Linked DNA regions of Lonchura striata. The protein of the gene in region 2 purifies or fractionates together with the protein of the main gene of each other region. This does not show direct contact. Links are inferred from orthologs where the notes say so. Each region holds a gene or a part of one and is shown on either strand. Other genes may lie near its edges.

Region 1 (7,756 bases), on a different chromosome or scaffold from region 2:
CTCCTGCTTTGGGCAAACCTTTGCATTCACTGCACAAAGCTGGTACAAGGTGTCTCTGGACAGAACACCCCAGCTCTGCCCTGGACAGCAATAAGCAATTGTTCGTAAGGGTCTGAGCAAAGGAGAAAGATGAAAAGGTTCTTACAGCTCTCCACAGCGTTGTCAAAGTCCTGTCCCCCTTCCTTCCTGAACCTGGGGTAGGTGTCTGGCTGGGGCAGCCTGTTGGCAGTCATGAGCACCTTCTGCATCTTGATCCTCCCTTCCATCAGCTGGTCCCACAGGGCTTCACAACAAAAAAGGAAACAAAAGAATCAGTTAGCAAGACAAAGCACTTGCTCCTGGTGAAGTACCTGACAGCTCAGGCCCTCTCCTCTGGGCTGCATTCCTCCTGCTCAGGGCAGCCTTGGCCAGCACAAAATGGGTGCCACGAGTTCCCTCTGGACAAAGCAAATCCCAGCTGCAACTCTGTGACCCACAGCCCAAACCAGCCCTCTGCTCCACTGGTTCAAAGGAAAGCCTGCACACAGAGGTTTGATCCTGTAACAGCTCACACAGGAAGAAATGGCACTGTGGGAGTCACACTTTGGAAAGAAGCAACGTGATCCCAGCAGGAGCAGTGCAGGAAGCTCCCACACCCAATGGCCCCATGAGGATATTCAGCACTGGTTCAGTTAAGCTCATGGATAAATACACTTCACATCAGGAGCTGTTACAGCAGCAGTGACACCAGAACATCTGGCACAACATCTGCACGCACACGGGGCTGCTGCAGCATGCACAAGCAGGGTGCTGGCAGCACCTCAGCATGCTGAGGGGCTCAGGCTGGTTTTACCCTGCCAGCAAACACACAGCAAACATGCACAAACCTAGCTGGTTCCTCACAGCTTTGCCCTTCTCCACTTCTTCAGACTCCTGTCCTCTGGAAAAGGTCTGCACTCCCCCATCATCTTCGTTGTCTTTGGTTTCTTTTCCATCATCGTGGTTTTCACTCCCAAATTCTTCCTCCTCCTCCTCCTCCTCCTCACTTCCTTCTTCCATGTCAGCATCATCTTCACCCTCCTCTTCATCCTCCCCTTCACTGCTCCCTGCATCATCCATCCCCTCTGTAAACTTCTCAAAGTCTGTGATATTCTGGGAGCTGAACTCTGGTGCCTTGGCCTCTTCATCATCCTCCAAGTCATCCTCCTGCTCACTGCCAGCACTGCTGGGCTTCTCCCTGCCCTTTGTGCCAACACCGTCCTCCTCTTCTGAGCCTTCACTGCCACTGTACCAGTCATCTAGTGCTTCTTCAGCTAATAAACAAGAGAAAAAAGTTATTTGCTTAGCAGGGAAATTCCCCAGCAGCAGCTCAGGTTTGGGCTGTTTGATGTCCAGTTTAACTGTAGCTGCTCCTTGCCCTGAGCTCTGCCAGGCTCAGTGCTGACATCATGGTCTGCCAGCAAAAAGGGGGGAAAAAAAGAGATTTCTTACCAGATCCTTCTTCAGACAGAGCATCTCCCCAGAGCTCTTCCTGCAAAGCTTTCCGAGATGTGGCTTTTCCACTGTACCTCTTATCAGCTTCCAGGAGAAAGGCTGAGGCTCTTTTCCTGATATTGCCAACAGGCAAAATGTCATCCGTGGTTTCATCCTCAAATCTGTCAATCACTTTAGCAACTGTAGCTGTGGAGAGGTAAAAAAAAGGGAAGGGGTGTCTGAAAGTGAGCTGAATTCCAGTCTGGAAGGAGCCCTGGGAAGCTCCTCGTGCTCTCTAACAACAGGGCACTGCACAGGGGAACAGGAACTTTGAGAAGTGCAGGAAAGGCACACAAATAATTTCCTGCAAGGGGGAAAGGCTCATGCACGAAGCAGAACATGAACCAAGGATACAGCAGGGTCTCTGAGTCCTTCACGTGGAGGGCTCTGCAAAGCTGCAACGCCTTCACTCACTTTGTGCTTGCAGATTAAAAGAGGAAAGCTCCAATTCAGATGCACTCTGGCCTCTTGCTGTACATACAAGCCACATAAACACATACATTGCACTGTGGTTTTTGCCCTCCTTCATCCCCATCTCCTCTGGGACACAGAGCAGAACAGTCCAGCCCAGAGAACACATCCCACCACTCCCCAGCCTGTGCCAAATTACAATGAGCGACTCAAATCGCTGAGTGCCCTTAATATGCGTTTGGAAATCTTAACGCCTGTTTGGAGTGTTTGTTAGAGGCAGAGGGAGGCAAAAACATCTCCTGCTCATAACCAAAATAACAAAATCTGCTACAAGCACGGCCACTCCAGGCAGCAGAGGACGGGCAGGAGGGGCAGATCCTTCCAGCACCTCCTGGAATCCTCAGTCTGGCACCAGCACACGATGAAGCTCTCCCAGAGCTGCAGCGGCTGGCCCTGGCAGCGTCCCGGGCCGGGCCGGGCGGGTTTGGAGCAGCCCGGGACAGTGGAAAGCGTCCCTGCCATGGCAGGGGTGGCACTGGGTGGGCTCTGCGGCCCCAAACCCCATCGGTCTGGGATTCTGCGCAGCCTGGAGCAAAATCATGGTTACTAAAACGGGAAACCAGCGCTCCTGAGCACGGCGAGTTCCTCAGCGGGCACCGAGGCGCTTCTTACAGGGCACCGCCGCTCCCAGCAGCCTGCAGGACCGAACCGGGCTAGGCCCGACACAGGCCCGACCCCGCGGCTGGCCCCAGCCCTGAGAACCGACCGCGGGCACATCCCCGACCCCGCCGGCGGCTCGCAGGACTCGATCGCGTCGGTAACCCGGGCCCGACCCCGCCGCGGTCCCTGCGGTCAGCCCGGGCCCGGCGGGGCCCGACCCGCCCCGCCGCCACGTGCGGCCGCTCCGGCAGCGCCCGGGCCGCCCCGCCGGCCCCTCCCGCCGCCGCCGGCCGCGGTGCCGAGCCTCCCTTCCCCGGTGCTGCCGCACCTTCCTCCGCATCGTCCTCGGGGTCCCGCGGGCCGGGCCGGGGGTCCAGCAGCTCCTGCAGCTGCAGCGCCAAGGGCGCCGCCATCTTGGGGCCGGGCCGGGGCGGGGCCGCGTGAGGGGACGGGCGGGAAGGGCGGGAAGGGCGGGAAGGGCGGGAGGGGCGCCCGGTCCCGCCGGGATCCGCCCGGAACGAGCCCGGGGTCCGAGCGGGAATGAACCCGGGATCCGCCCGGAACGAGCCCGGGGTCCGAGCGGGAACGAGCCCCAACCGGGAATGAACCCGGGATCCAATCGGGAACAAACCCGGGATCTGAGCGGGAACGAGCCCGGGGTCCGAGCGGGAACGAGCCCCAACCAGGAACGAGCCCGGGATCCGAGCGGGAATGAACCCGGGATCCGCCCGGAACGAGCCCGGGGTCCGAGCAGGAACGAGCCCCAACCGGGAATGAACCCGGGATCCGCCTGTAACGAGCCCAGGATTCGACTGGGAATGAGCCCCAACCGGGAATAAACCCGGGATCCAATCGGGAACAAACCCGGGATCCAGCCAAGAACGAACCCCAACCGGGAACGAGCCCGGGATCCGACCGGGAACGAGCCCAGGATCCAACCAGGAATGAACCCGGGATCCAACCGGGAACGAGCCCCAACCAGGAACGAGCCCGGGATCCAACCGGGAATGAACCCGGGATCCGCCCGGAACAAGCCCGGGGTCCGAGCGGGAACGAGCCCCAACCGGGAATGAACCCGGGATCCACCTGGAACGAGCCCAGGATTCGACTGGGAATGAGCCCCAACTGGGAATAAACCCGGGATCCAATCGGGAACAAACCCGGGATCCAGCCAAGAACGAACCCCAACCGGGAACGAACCCGGGATCTGACCGGGAGCGAGCCCAGGATCCAACCAGGAATGAACCCAGGATCCGACTGGGAACGAGCCCCAACCAGGAACGAGCCCGGGATCCAACCGGGAATGAACCCGGGATCCGCCCGGAACAAGCCCGGGGTCCGAGCGGGAACGAGCCCCAACCGGGAATGAACCCGGGATCCACCTGTAACGAGCCCAGGATTCGACTGGGAATGAGCCCCAACCGGGAATGAACCCGGGATCCAATCGGGAACAAACCCGGGATCCAGCCAAGAACGAACCCCAACCGGGAACGAACCCGGGATCCGACCGGGAGCGAGCCCAGGATCCAACCAGGAATGAACCCAGGATCCGACTGGGAACGAGCCCCAACCAGGAACGAGCCCGGGATCCAACTGGGAATGAACCCGGGATCCAACTGGGAGCACACCCGGGATCCGACCAGGAGCAAGCCGCAACCGGGAATGAACCCGGCATGCAACAGGGATCCAACCGGGAATGAACCTGGGGTCCAACTGGGAACAAACCCGGGACCCAGCCGGGAATGAGCCCGGGATCCAACAGGAATCCAAACGGGAATGAGCCTGGGATCCAACCGGAATCCATCCGAGAATTAACCTGGGATCCATCCGGGAATGAGCCCGAGATCCAACTGGGAATGAACCCAGGATCCATCCAGGAATGAGCCTGGGATCTATCCCGGAATGAGCTCGAGATCCAACTGGGAATGAACCCAGGATCCATCCAGGAATGAGCCTGGGATCTATCCCGGAATGAGCCCAAGATCCAACTGGGAACGAACCCAGGATACAACCGGGAAATAACCTGGGATCCATCCAGGAATGAGTCCAGGATCCAACAGGAACCCAACCGGGAATGAACCCAGAATCCAGCCGAAATCCAGCTGGGATCGATGCCAGGGCCACAGCGTGACCCAGCGGGAGCCGCCGAGCCGCCGTTACCGGCGCTCGCAGCCCTTGTGGGCAGCAGGGCTGTGGGGTCGGCTCTCGGTGCCGGTACCGGCAGCACGGCAGCCGAGTGCCATGGGTAATGCACAACGTGACAACTGCCGCTTTAAATCACCCTCAGCTTCCTCTGCCTCCCCAGCTGCGCAGAACCGAGTTCATTCTCTTCCCTTCCTGTGTTCAATATTCTGTGGCCTCTGCTGGAGTTCCTCTCACAGCGGCGAGGTCCAGAGCTGGGTTCTCAGGTCAGGCCTTGCACACGGATAGATCCTTACACCGGAGTTACGCCTGAGTTACACCCAAGTTACACCTGAGTTACACCCGAGTTACAGCAGTCATGGGAATTCGGGAATTTGGGCTCCTGGGGTCACACTCTGGCCCAGGAGCAGCAGGCAGGCAGCACAGACGTGACCTGCAGAGAGCCTTAGCAGGGACAGGTTCTCTGGCTTTGCCCTCTCCAGCCTCTCCCGTTCCCTTTCTTTGGTCCTAAGGTGGCCCCAAGCCCAAGGGATTGCCTGGAACTGGGGAACACCAGTCGAGGCTGGCACGAATTTTGTTCCAAAGGAGCCTGGGCCCCGCTCAGCCTCTCCGATCCGAGCTGCAGATCCTCAGAGCCCGCAATGAGCTCCAGATTTGGGCTTTCCTCACCCAGCGCTGGGATTTCGGAGGTTCCAGCAGCCCGCCCTGAACCTGAGCACGCTGATGCTCATCCCCTTCTTGTCCTCCTGCGCCCGAGGTGCCTTTGATGCCGCAGAACCGAGCAGGAGGTGACTGGTGCTGGGAGCCGGGATGCAGCCGGCTCCATCCCGCCGCTCGGCTCATGCGGGCGCTTCTCCTACAGAGGGCAGAGGAATATCAGGAATTCCCATCGCCTCCAGCAGGGAGAAACCCGGCAGGCACCGAGAGGGAGCCGGCTGGAAAAACCCGAGCATCGCCCTCCCCTTCCCAGCCCCGCCGGGACCCTCCCCGCCTGACACTGGCTACCTTGATGATAAACTAAAGCTCGATTTATGGAAAACCCAACGTCTGCTGAAAACGCACATTTTCACAGCAAACCTCCCTCCCCCTGCCCAAGCTTCAAAATACTCAACAGCATAAACTCTCAAGTCGGTTTTGTAGTTTGTATTTATTTTAGCACGGCAGGATGGATGGCTCTGATGCTCTGCCTAATGGGTGGTGGGGGATTACCCCTGCTCCAGCAATGAGAAATTAAACACTGATTTTTATTTATTTATTTGCAAATACATGGTTTGGAAAAAAAACCAGGAAACTTATAAATCAGGACACATGCACAGTGTATCCTCCCTAGCTTTGCTTCTAAGTTTTCCTTTTTTTTCCCCTTTGAGTTTGTTGGTATTTTGTTCCCAGATGCCACCATAAACAAAGGGAGGATCCTGGAGAAATAAATCCGTGGAAAATTAAGTAGCAGGAACAAGTGCTTACCTGTGCAGTTACTTCTGAGTAACTAACCACTCACACAACCAAAGAACTAGTGCCAAGACTCCCCTGCATAATTGCATTTTCCAACCTCTGCACTCTTAGAGTGAAAAAGGGACGTTCTCTACCCTCACAAATAATGAATTGCCCTGTTAATGAAGGGAGAGAGGCTTTTAGTGATGGTTAAATAAAACAGACCCAGTAGAATGAATAAAAAACACAAGTGAGTCGCATTAGTCCTTTGGAGTAAAAAATGAGCTCCTTGAAGTCGCAGCGGTTTTGATGCTCAGGCCACCGAGATCAGGGTTTCACCCACTGAGACTAATGGGACAATTGCTCCATATAAATCCCAAAGGCAGCAATGCATTCCCGTCCACGTCCCAGCTGCAAACCCAGGGCTCCTGGCAGAGCTCGCCCGCTCCTCGTCCGTGCCACATCCATCACTCCCAGCCGTGCAGAACAAAACTCCTGCTCAGGTGTGGGGGACCCCTCACCACAGCTCACCCCAGCCACAGCACCTGGCAATTCACAGTTCTTCAGGAGGAGATGCAGTCAACACAAAGCCACATCAAACAGCAACTGCAGCCTGTGGAAGTCGGGGACTGTTAAAATATTTCACCCAGAGAGTCGCCTTTGCCGCTGTTTATTCTCTCTCCTCTGCCTTTCACTTAGCAGGGTAATTAAATCAGACTCCAGGGCTGGGTTTTAATTTCTGGTTCACATGCCCTCCAACCATGCTGCCGTGCCTAGGACTCAGAACAGAGCAGGGAAATATTTGTACCAAAACTGTATCGATACATTTTCATTTGAGATGCTCATGAAAGGCTTTTCATGCCTCACGGTCGGTTCAGAGAAACCCTTGGCCTGTTTAGAAACTACATCAACCTCACTGACATAATTTCTTTGGCATTTTCCCTCTTAATTTTACTTTTTTATTCACATGCCTGTTTGCTAGAATGGGAATAGCAGCCCAAACACAGAGCAGATAAACAAGGGAACGTGGAACAGGCTGGGCTGTAAAAACGGCTTCCAGTTTCTCCCACTCAGCATCTCTCGCTGCCGTGTCCGTGGAGCTCGTCAGCTTTTGGGAAATCGTCAGATGAGATGGAAGCTTTGGCAGGGAAGGGCTGCACATGTAATTATACGTGTCTGTATAATTACAGGTTGTTAATATGAATCCATCTTTCAGAGCCATTCCTTCACCGGAGCACAGGAATGGGCCGGGGTGGAAACGTGGAGCCTCTGGGGCACTGCCAGCGAGGGCCCACGGGGGTGCAGGAGCCCATCCCCACGGCATTCCCAGCACATCCACGGGAATCACCCGCCCCGGAGTCACCGCTGCTGAATTTAATTGACTTACTTCATCAACAGCGACATTTGACCCATATACGAGGGCCTCGTGCTGGCCAAAAATAGCCAGAAGCTGGGGCTGATCTTGCCAATGCTTGGGCGAGCAAATGTCCTTTTCCAAACTGACCTCTATCATTTCAGTCATGCTAGTTCAGTCAAAATTTTCTTTTTAAACCAGCAACGCAATTTAGCCGTGAAAATGAGAGAAAAAAGAAGTGAAAAG
Region 2 (7,944 bases):
CAAAGGGCAGGTCCTGCCTGCGGGATGAGGAGGTGACCTGGAGCTGCTGCAGGGCTGAGCTGGGAATGGATGAGGTGGGGGAGCCCCAGCCCTGCCTGGGCTGTGAGAAGGCAGCAACGTCTGACCTCTCACAGCCCTGTCACAGCCCTGTCACAGCCAGGCCACTGCCCTGCCACAGCCCTGCCACAGCCCTGCCAGAGCTCTGCCACAGCCACCTGCCTGCCCCTCTGTGCTGGTGTCCCATGGTCACTGCTATGGTGAGGTGGCTCTGGGCTCCTTGCTCATCTCACTGTGCCCCTTTTGGGGTCAGTTCTCCCCCCTTCCCTCTGTGTCCCCAGGTGTCCCCATTGGCTCTGCCATAGCTGCAGCCCTGTGGCTGTGCCCTGTGTGCAGCTCTGCTCTCCCCAAAGCCACCACAGGGCCCACCCTGGACATGGCAACTCTTGGACAGCTGGGATGGAGGCAGGAGCTGCTGAAGGACCTCTGTAAGTCCAGGTGAATGTCCCTTGTGTGGGACTCTCCCCTTCCACCCAGCCACCTCCAGAGCTGTGAGACAAAAGCTCTTGCTCACCAGTTTCTCCTTTTCAGTTCCAGGGCAGGAGTTTCCTGAGAAGCTGCTTCACCTGTTTGGCCACCAGGTTCCCACATCGGCACAAACTCCTCCCCAGCTAAGGGATCCCAACAGCTGAGTTTTCCTGCCTGGCTGTGCCCTGCCATGTGCCTGGAGAAGCCCAGGTGGCTGCTTTGGCTCCCTGCTTAGGCTCCAGGACTTGCTTGGAGTAGGGAACCTTCAAATCAGCTCCTGGGATCTCCAGGTCGCCCTGAGTTGCTCTGCTGCCAGCCTGTGGAGGTCAGAGAGGCAATTGCTCCTGGAAGGACCCTGGTGACACTGGGCTTGTCTGGGCTGTGCAGCTGCCAGGGAACTTGGCCAGCTCCAGAACAGCCCAGTGTGGGAGGATGTCAAGAGAAATAGTTCAGCTCATTATCCAGAAAAGATGTAGTGAGACAAAATGCAGTGGTGTCACTCCCAAAATCCTGCCCCAGGAGTGCTGTGGTGGTGCCAGGACATGTGAGACACAGACAGAGCCGGTGTGGGAATTGTGGTGGAGATGACCAGGGAGCAAATCCTTCCCTGGGACAATGAGTGGACAGAGAACATGGACTGAACCATTGGCTGAGTTCCAGTGGAGTCAGCCCAGGGGGATGGAGGTTTCCAGGGTTTTTCTAAGCACAGGATTACTTTTGCTTTGATACAGCAAGGCTGAGGTGGCCCTCAAGGAATCCCTGCCCTGTTGCACAAAATGGAGATATCTCCGGGTTGGTGGTGCTGGGACTTTCCCTTCCACCTCCCCCCCGCCATCCTCATCCTCACAGGAAAACTGGCAGAGCAAGTTCTCTGGGACGGAGCTGCCCCAACTCTCTGCTGTGCCTCCACCTGAACAGGGGCCTAATTAGCACTAATTAGCAGCTGTGACCCTGCGTGGCAGCTGTGCAGATGTATGACACAGATCTGTCACACAGTGGTACAGCCTTGTCTGAGCAGGGCACACCCAGAGACTGCTCCTCAAATTGCTGCAGCCAGGTAGGCATGGGAATATTGTGCTTGACTCATGGAAACATTTAGGGAGGAAAAGACCTCCAAGACTGAGTCCAAGCCACGGCCAACGCCCATCTTGTCCCCAGCCCAGAGCACTCAGTGCCAGCTCCAGGTGTTCCCTGGACACCTCCAGGGATGGGCACTCCAAACCTCCCTGAGCAGCTCCTCCCAATCCCTGAGCCCCCTTTCCATGGGGAAATTCCTGCTGCTGCCCACCCTGAGCCTGCCCTGGCCCAGCCTGAGGCCGTTCCCTCTCCTCCTGTCCCTGTTCCCTGGGGCAGAGCCCGACCCCCCGGCTGTCCCCTCCTGTCAGGAGCTGTGCAGAGCCACAAGGTCCCCCTGAGCCTCCTTTGCTCCAGGCTGAGCCCCTTCCCAGCTCCCTCAGCCTCTCCTGGGGCTCCAGTCCCTTCCCAGCTCCCTCAGCTGCTCCTCCTGGGACTGACTCTTTCCCAGTGAGTTTCTATCTCAGAATAAATTTATCAAAACCTGTTTTTTAATCTTATTATGCCTTGAACATGTTGCTCAGTCCTCATGAAGTTTTAAGTTGTCAGTTGGTCAGAAACAATTTTAATTTACAGGTACAGAGATTGATATCCCCACTCCTGCTTTCCTCGGTGTTCCACACTAAAGGCAAAACATTTGATGTTTTTATGATGCTTTCCTTAATTAATTTCTATGTATTTCTCCTTCTCTCACATCATAGGAATTGCTTTTACCACACCATTAAGAGCAGATTACAGGAACTCCATTTCCATCTGACTCCTCCTGCCAGAATGAGACCCATCCTGCTGTGCAACATGCATTGCTGTGGTGCAGGAACCCTTGGAGCTGCTGTGATGGCAACATTTATTTACCCTTTGTGCAAATTAATGGAAGATTTTCCCTCTCTTTTTTCTCTTTGCCCTGGGAATCCTTCCCATACTCAGAACACCAGGTTGTGCTTTGGAAAGCACCAGGATTGCTGTGCTGTCAGCAAACCCCTGCCCTGGGTATATTTAGACTGAGACATGCTGATTTTTTACTTTGGTGTCCCAAACAAATCTCTGCTGCCTTGGTTGATGTCCAGAACCAATGGCTGATCGCAGGGACAGAATGGAGCTGGATTTTGTCCCACCTTTCTCAGTGACACCTGTGTGGGGGTGTTACACAATGGGTCTAATTCCACCTGCAAGTCCTTCCTTAGGGGTTGTGATGGGAAGGGGGGGAAGGATCCAACTCAGCTGCCAGGGGGGGCAGGTTTGGGCAGGAAAGGGTGGATTTTCCATGGCAATGGGGCATCAGGGTGAGGGGCAGTGCTGCTGTGGGTGGCCTCACTTTGGGGCAGGGGCATCTCTGGGTTTGGCTTTGTCCCCATAGATGGAAATGGGGCAGCTTTTGGGGCACAGCCATTTGTCGTCCCCAGGCTGTGAGCAGAAGCAGGGAGGGAGGGCCATTTGCAGCTCTTGCTTTACCTTTTAAATGCTCTAGAAAGGGTTTAGACCTCACGGTAAGTATTGTTCTAAGTCATTTTGAGTGGATGAAGGACATTTCTGCTGATGCCAATGTCCTGTGGAGCAGGTGAGCTGTCAGTAAGAAAGGACTTTGCACCATTTCCATTTGTTCATCCTCCATCTCTTCTACATTTGGCAGAGATTTGAACAGGTAACAGACAAAAATGCTTAGCAGGGAGTTCCAGGTCCATTTTCACAGCAAGCCCAATGCTGTGCTGTCACAGCACGCTGCTGCTTAGGACAGATTTGCATCCAATTTCCAATGCCTACGGCTGCACTTGGTCCCTGCTGCCGGTCAGAGGGCAGCCTGAGTGGCCTTGGTCCCCAAAGCACCTGAGCTCTGGACGGCTGCTGGATGCTCCGGGGCTCCTGTGGCAGAGGCAGCTTGCCAGCAGGATCTACACCCTAAAGGCTGAATAAGTTGCTCATTGCCAAGGGTTGAGGTCAGCTGCGTGGAAATGCCCAGTGGTGCCAGCAAGACCAGGCCTAAGGCACAGATTAGGATTTATTAAACTGAACTGTTTATGAAGCAGACAGTACAACGTGCAGAGCCCACAGAATCCCAGAATGGTTTGGGCTGGAAGGGGCCTTAAAGCCCATCCCATCCCACCCCTGCCATGGCAGGGACACCTCCCACTGCTCCCAGCCCCGTCCAGCCTGGCCTTGGGCACTGCCGGACCCAGGGCAGCCCCAGCCGCTCTGGGCACCTGTGCCAGGCACGGAGGGAGCGATGGAGGCGAGTCTCCCGGGCGCTTTCCAAGCTTTCCGTCCCCCAGCATCCAGCACCAAGCCCGCCCTGGCCCTTCCCACACGGATCGACCCCGGCAGCGCGGGACAGGCCCCGGCCCTCTGCCGTCCCTCGGAGGCGCTGCCCGCCGCTGCTGCTCCATTCCCGTTCCCGTTCTTCTTCCATTCCCGCTCCCGTTCCCATTCCCTTTCCCGCTCCCGTTTTCTCTCCCTTTTCCTGTTCCCATTCCTATTCCCGCCCCCCTTTCCTCTTCCCATTTCCATTCCCGTTCCCGTTCCCCTTTCCTGTTCCCGTTCCCCTTTCCCGTTCCCTTTCCCGCTCCCATTTCCGCTCCCGTTCCCGCTCCCGTTCCCCTTTCCCGTTCCCTTTCCCGCTCCCATTTCCGCTCCCGTTCCCCTTTCCCGTTCCCTTTCCCGCTCCCGTTCCCCTTTCCCTTTCCCGTTTCCCCGCTCCGTTTCCCGCTCCCGTTCCCGTTCCCCTTTCCCGTTCCCTTTCCCGCTCCCATTTCCGCTCCCGTTCCCCTTTCCCGTTCCCTTTCCCGCTCCCGTTCCCCTTTCCTGTTCCCGTTCCCCTTTCCCATTCCCTTTCTCGCTCCCATTTCCGCTCCCGTTCCCCTTTCCCGTTCCCGTTTCCCCGCTCCGTTTCCCGCTCCCGTTCCCGTTCCCCTTTCCCATTCCCTTTCCCGCTCCCATTTCCGCTCCCGTTCCCCTTTCCCGTTCCCGTTTCCCCGCTCCGTTTCCCGCTCCCGTTCCCGTTCCCCTTTCCCATTCCCTTTCCCGCTCCCATTTCCGCTCCCGTTCCCCTTTCCCGTTCCCGTTTCCCCGCTCCGTTTCCCGCTCCCATTCCCGTTCCCGCTCCCTTTCCCGCTCCCCTGCGGGCCCCTCACGCCGCGCCCCGGCCCCGCCCCTCCCCTCCCGGCATCCCCCGCGCGCCGCCCGTGCCCAATGGTCAGCGCGGAGCCGCCCCGGGGGCGGGGCCAGGCGCGTCGGGGCCACGCCCCTTCCGCGAGCGCCGTGACGTCACGGCGGGCGCAGCGCGCGTGCGCGGGCGCGCGGCGGGGGCGGGCGGGCCGCGGCGGGGCCTGGCGGGCGCGGGGCGGCGGCGGGGCCGGGCCGGGCGGGCGGGCGGAGCGGAGCGGCCGCCGCGATGGAGCCCGACTCGGTCATCGAGGACAAGACCATCGAGCTCATGGTGAGTCGCCCCCGGCCCCCGCGCACACCCTCCCGGGCCCTCTCGCCCCCCCCGGCTCAGGCCCCGCCGGCGCGCCCGGCCCGCGGGGTCCGGCGCCGCCTCCGCGGGGCTGTGCCGGGCCCGTGCCGGCCCCGCGGGGCGATCCGCTCGCTCCCGCCTCCGCCGCGCTCCCGCGGCCCGCCCGGGGCGCCACGAGCGCCTGCGTTTCATTGGAAATAAATAAATAACTACAATGAACCTGGCGGGAGGCAGGGCCCGGCCGGGGCACGAACCGAAAGCGAAATGCCCCGGGCGGGACGGCTCCGGCTCCAGCCCCTCCCCGGGCCGGCCGGAGCCCTCCGCGCCCCCGGGGGCGGATCAGACCCCGCCGGGGAGCCTCGGGGCCCCGGGCCGGGGCAGCACCGGTGCTGCAGCTCCGGTCCAGCACACTCGGAATTACCTAACGAGACCTAATTGGTGTATTGGTTATACTCCTAATTAACGCTTACACCGCTAATTTCGCGTTAGTGGAGAGGCATCCAGGTGGGAGCAGTAGAAAGAGGTGCTGAATTTTTTTTTTTTTACTATAAGCAAATTAGATCTCTATAGGCAAATGGAGACTCCTCGTTTTACTGCATTAGGCGTGAATAAAATTAAATTAGGAGTAGGGAGAGAATAGTAGTCGGTAAATATCTTCTAATTTATTTGTTAGAAGCATAATTGCTTTTTCTCCTAAGTGTAATTTGCTCTCACATACAGAATTTCATACAGTTCTCCAGAACTGAGGGGCAAAATGCAAATAATTTCCCTTTAATGCACTCTGAAGGTGAGCTGGGTTCAGTGGAGACATAAATGTGTTTTTTAGCGAGTTGAGTTGTTGCTAAACTACCTGATCCAGAAAATACGAACTTTCTTCAAGTGTGCTATCTGGTCTCAAAAAGCAGAAATAAAATGAGAAAGAAAAAGAGGAACGTAGAAAGCCTTTGTGTATCTTTCATTAATGTTACTGGTCACTGAGGGCAGGGGCTTAAAAGCTGTTCCTAGGGAGCCTCCTCCCCTGGTGCTGTGGTCTCACACTTGCCCTGGGGGGCATCAGAGCCATCAGTGCCCTTAGCAGGGAGGACAAGGCTTGGCAGCTTTGTGGGGATCCAGCTCAGGGCCAGCCACCCTGAGAGATGCCTCCTAAATTCCTGGGAATTGGGCTCTGGTTTTTTCCTTCCGTGGAACAGTCACCAACACTCCTCTGCTTTGAGTTCTGTGAGTTGCTCAGGTAGCATTTGGAGCTGGAAGGTTTGGCTCCCTCAACTTTCAAAAACCGCTTTTCCATGTTTTCGCAAGTGCTCTCCCATTTTAGTCTCTCCTCTTTGCGGCCAGGTTGTATCAGGAGGAAGCAAATGGGACTTTTGCTGATGAGTGTTGTATCCTCCACTTGCTGGAGCCGGGAAATGTGCTAATCCGTGCAAATATCTGTGGGGTTAATAGGAGTTTTAGTATGTAGTAGGAGGTTTTAGACATACACTTTTCTCTCTTTCATAAGAAACTGATAAATATAAAAATTGAGTGAGATGAACAATTAATTCTGTGGTTGCCAGGAGAAGATGGTATACAATGTATAAATGGTTTACAATGTAGTTGAATTTAATGTTAACCTTAGTGGAGGCTTGCACAAGATCACTTATGTTTGAGTGGAGATGTTTCCCTAAAAGCATTGAAAATCACTCCTAAATGCAGATGTGGAGGTTTTGCCTTCTGATGTGGTGCAGAAGGGGAGATTCGCCAGGAGATTGGTTTGAATCCACAGGGCAGAAGCTGTTTGGGCTGAGTTCCCTGTTGGGAATTTCTTTGTGATCTGGAAACGTGGGAGTTGGTGCTGTGGGAAACATCCCAAACCCAGGATCTTCCCTGCCTGGCAGACTTGGGGGGATGCTGCTCTTTTTAAGAGTGTTCCACATTCCTAAAAGATGTTTGATACCTCTTCTTGATCAGGGAGATGGGGTTTGGTGCATTGCTTCCTTCCAGTGCCAGGGATGAATCTGTAGTAAATACAGGAGCAAATGTGTGATCTGAAAGTTCTGAGGAGCAAATACACTGTAATTCTGAGGGGCTGATAAACAAGAGGTTATGTGTCAACATGTTAATTGCATATAAGTTTCAGAACATGCTGCTCTAGCCCTGAACTGTGCCTTCCCGGATTGATCATTTGCATTTATTTAAAGGAAAATCAGTCATGGAAATAATACTGTTCTATTTTTAAGGCTGGAATCTCAGATAAATATTTCAAAGTTTCAGAGTGACAACTTTGATTTGCTGTGTGAAGTTTTAGTGAGTATTCCCAAGCCACTGTGTCCCTCAGATCAGCTGAACTCTTCCCGTGCTGTGTGCTGCTTCTGTGGATGCTGTCCTTAGTCATTCCCAGGGGGATGAGCATTGAGTGATGCCATTCACAGCTTCCACGTGCAGGTGGTGCCCACCTGTATGGGTGGGATACCCCCGAGGTTAGCTGGGACTGACTGGTTTGCCCAGGCTGAGGCTCCCTGTGTCTGGCAGGGCTGGGGCTGGTTCAGTCGTGGGCTCAGGGAAATGCTGGGTGTCAGCAGGCGGCTGAGGAGTGAGGAGGTAATCCAGAACAGATGGAGGACCACTCATTGAAAGGGCTCGTTCTGCCCCTGGTTTTGGTTTTCTCAGTGAAATTAGATAACTGTGACCTTTTTGCTCTTTTGAAGAACCAACTGCAATGCTTTGTGAAATAAGTTTTGTTACCTGCAGATCAGAGTTGTGTATAAAATCTGTGTTCAGTTGCATCAACCCTGTGATTTGCATTTACCTTCAATATGTGCTAAAAGCCTGTTCTTAATTTTCCCAGGAAGCTTTCCATAATTGTTATTTAGTGTTACCAGCAGCTTTCACAGTGTGAGGGGGTTAGCTGCTTAGGTTGTTGT

The links.
Region 1: the proteins of FBXW11 (region 2) and AATF purify together in Homo sapiens (affinity purification with mass spectrometry; 3 studies listed by BioGRID and IntAct, with this or other methods). This does not show direct contact. The link is inferred for Lonchura striata from reciprocal best matches to the Homo sapiens genes FBXW11 and AATF.

What each region holds. Positions count from the first base shown.
Region 1 is NC_134622.1:10,339,242-10,346,997, reverse strand, and holds the start of AATF (protein AATF), read right to left. Parts: upstream 3,017-7,756; 5' UTR 2,997-3,016; coding exon 2,912-2,996; intron 1,660-2,911; coding exon 1,471-1,659; intron 1,293-1,470; coding exon 867-1,292; intron 284-866; coding exon 146-283; intron 1-145. UniProt on the Homo sapiens protein: Part of the small subunit (SSU) processome, first precursor of the small eukaryotic ribosomal subunit.
Region 2 is NC_134617.1:17,017,950-17,025,893, forward strand, and holds the start of FBXW11 (F-box/WD repeat-containing protein 11), read left to right. Parts: upstream 1-4,935; 5' UTR 4,936-4,981; coding exon 4,982-5,026; intron 5,027-7,944.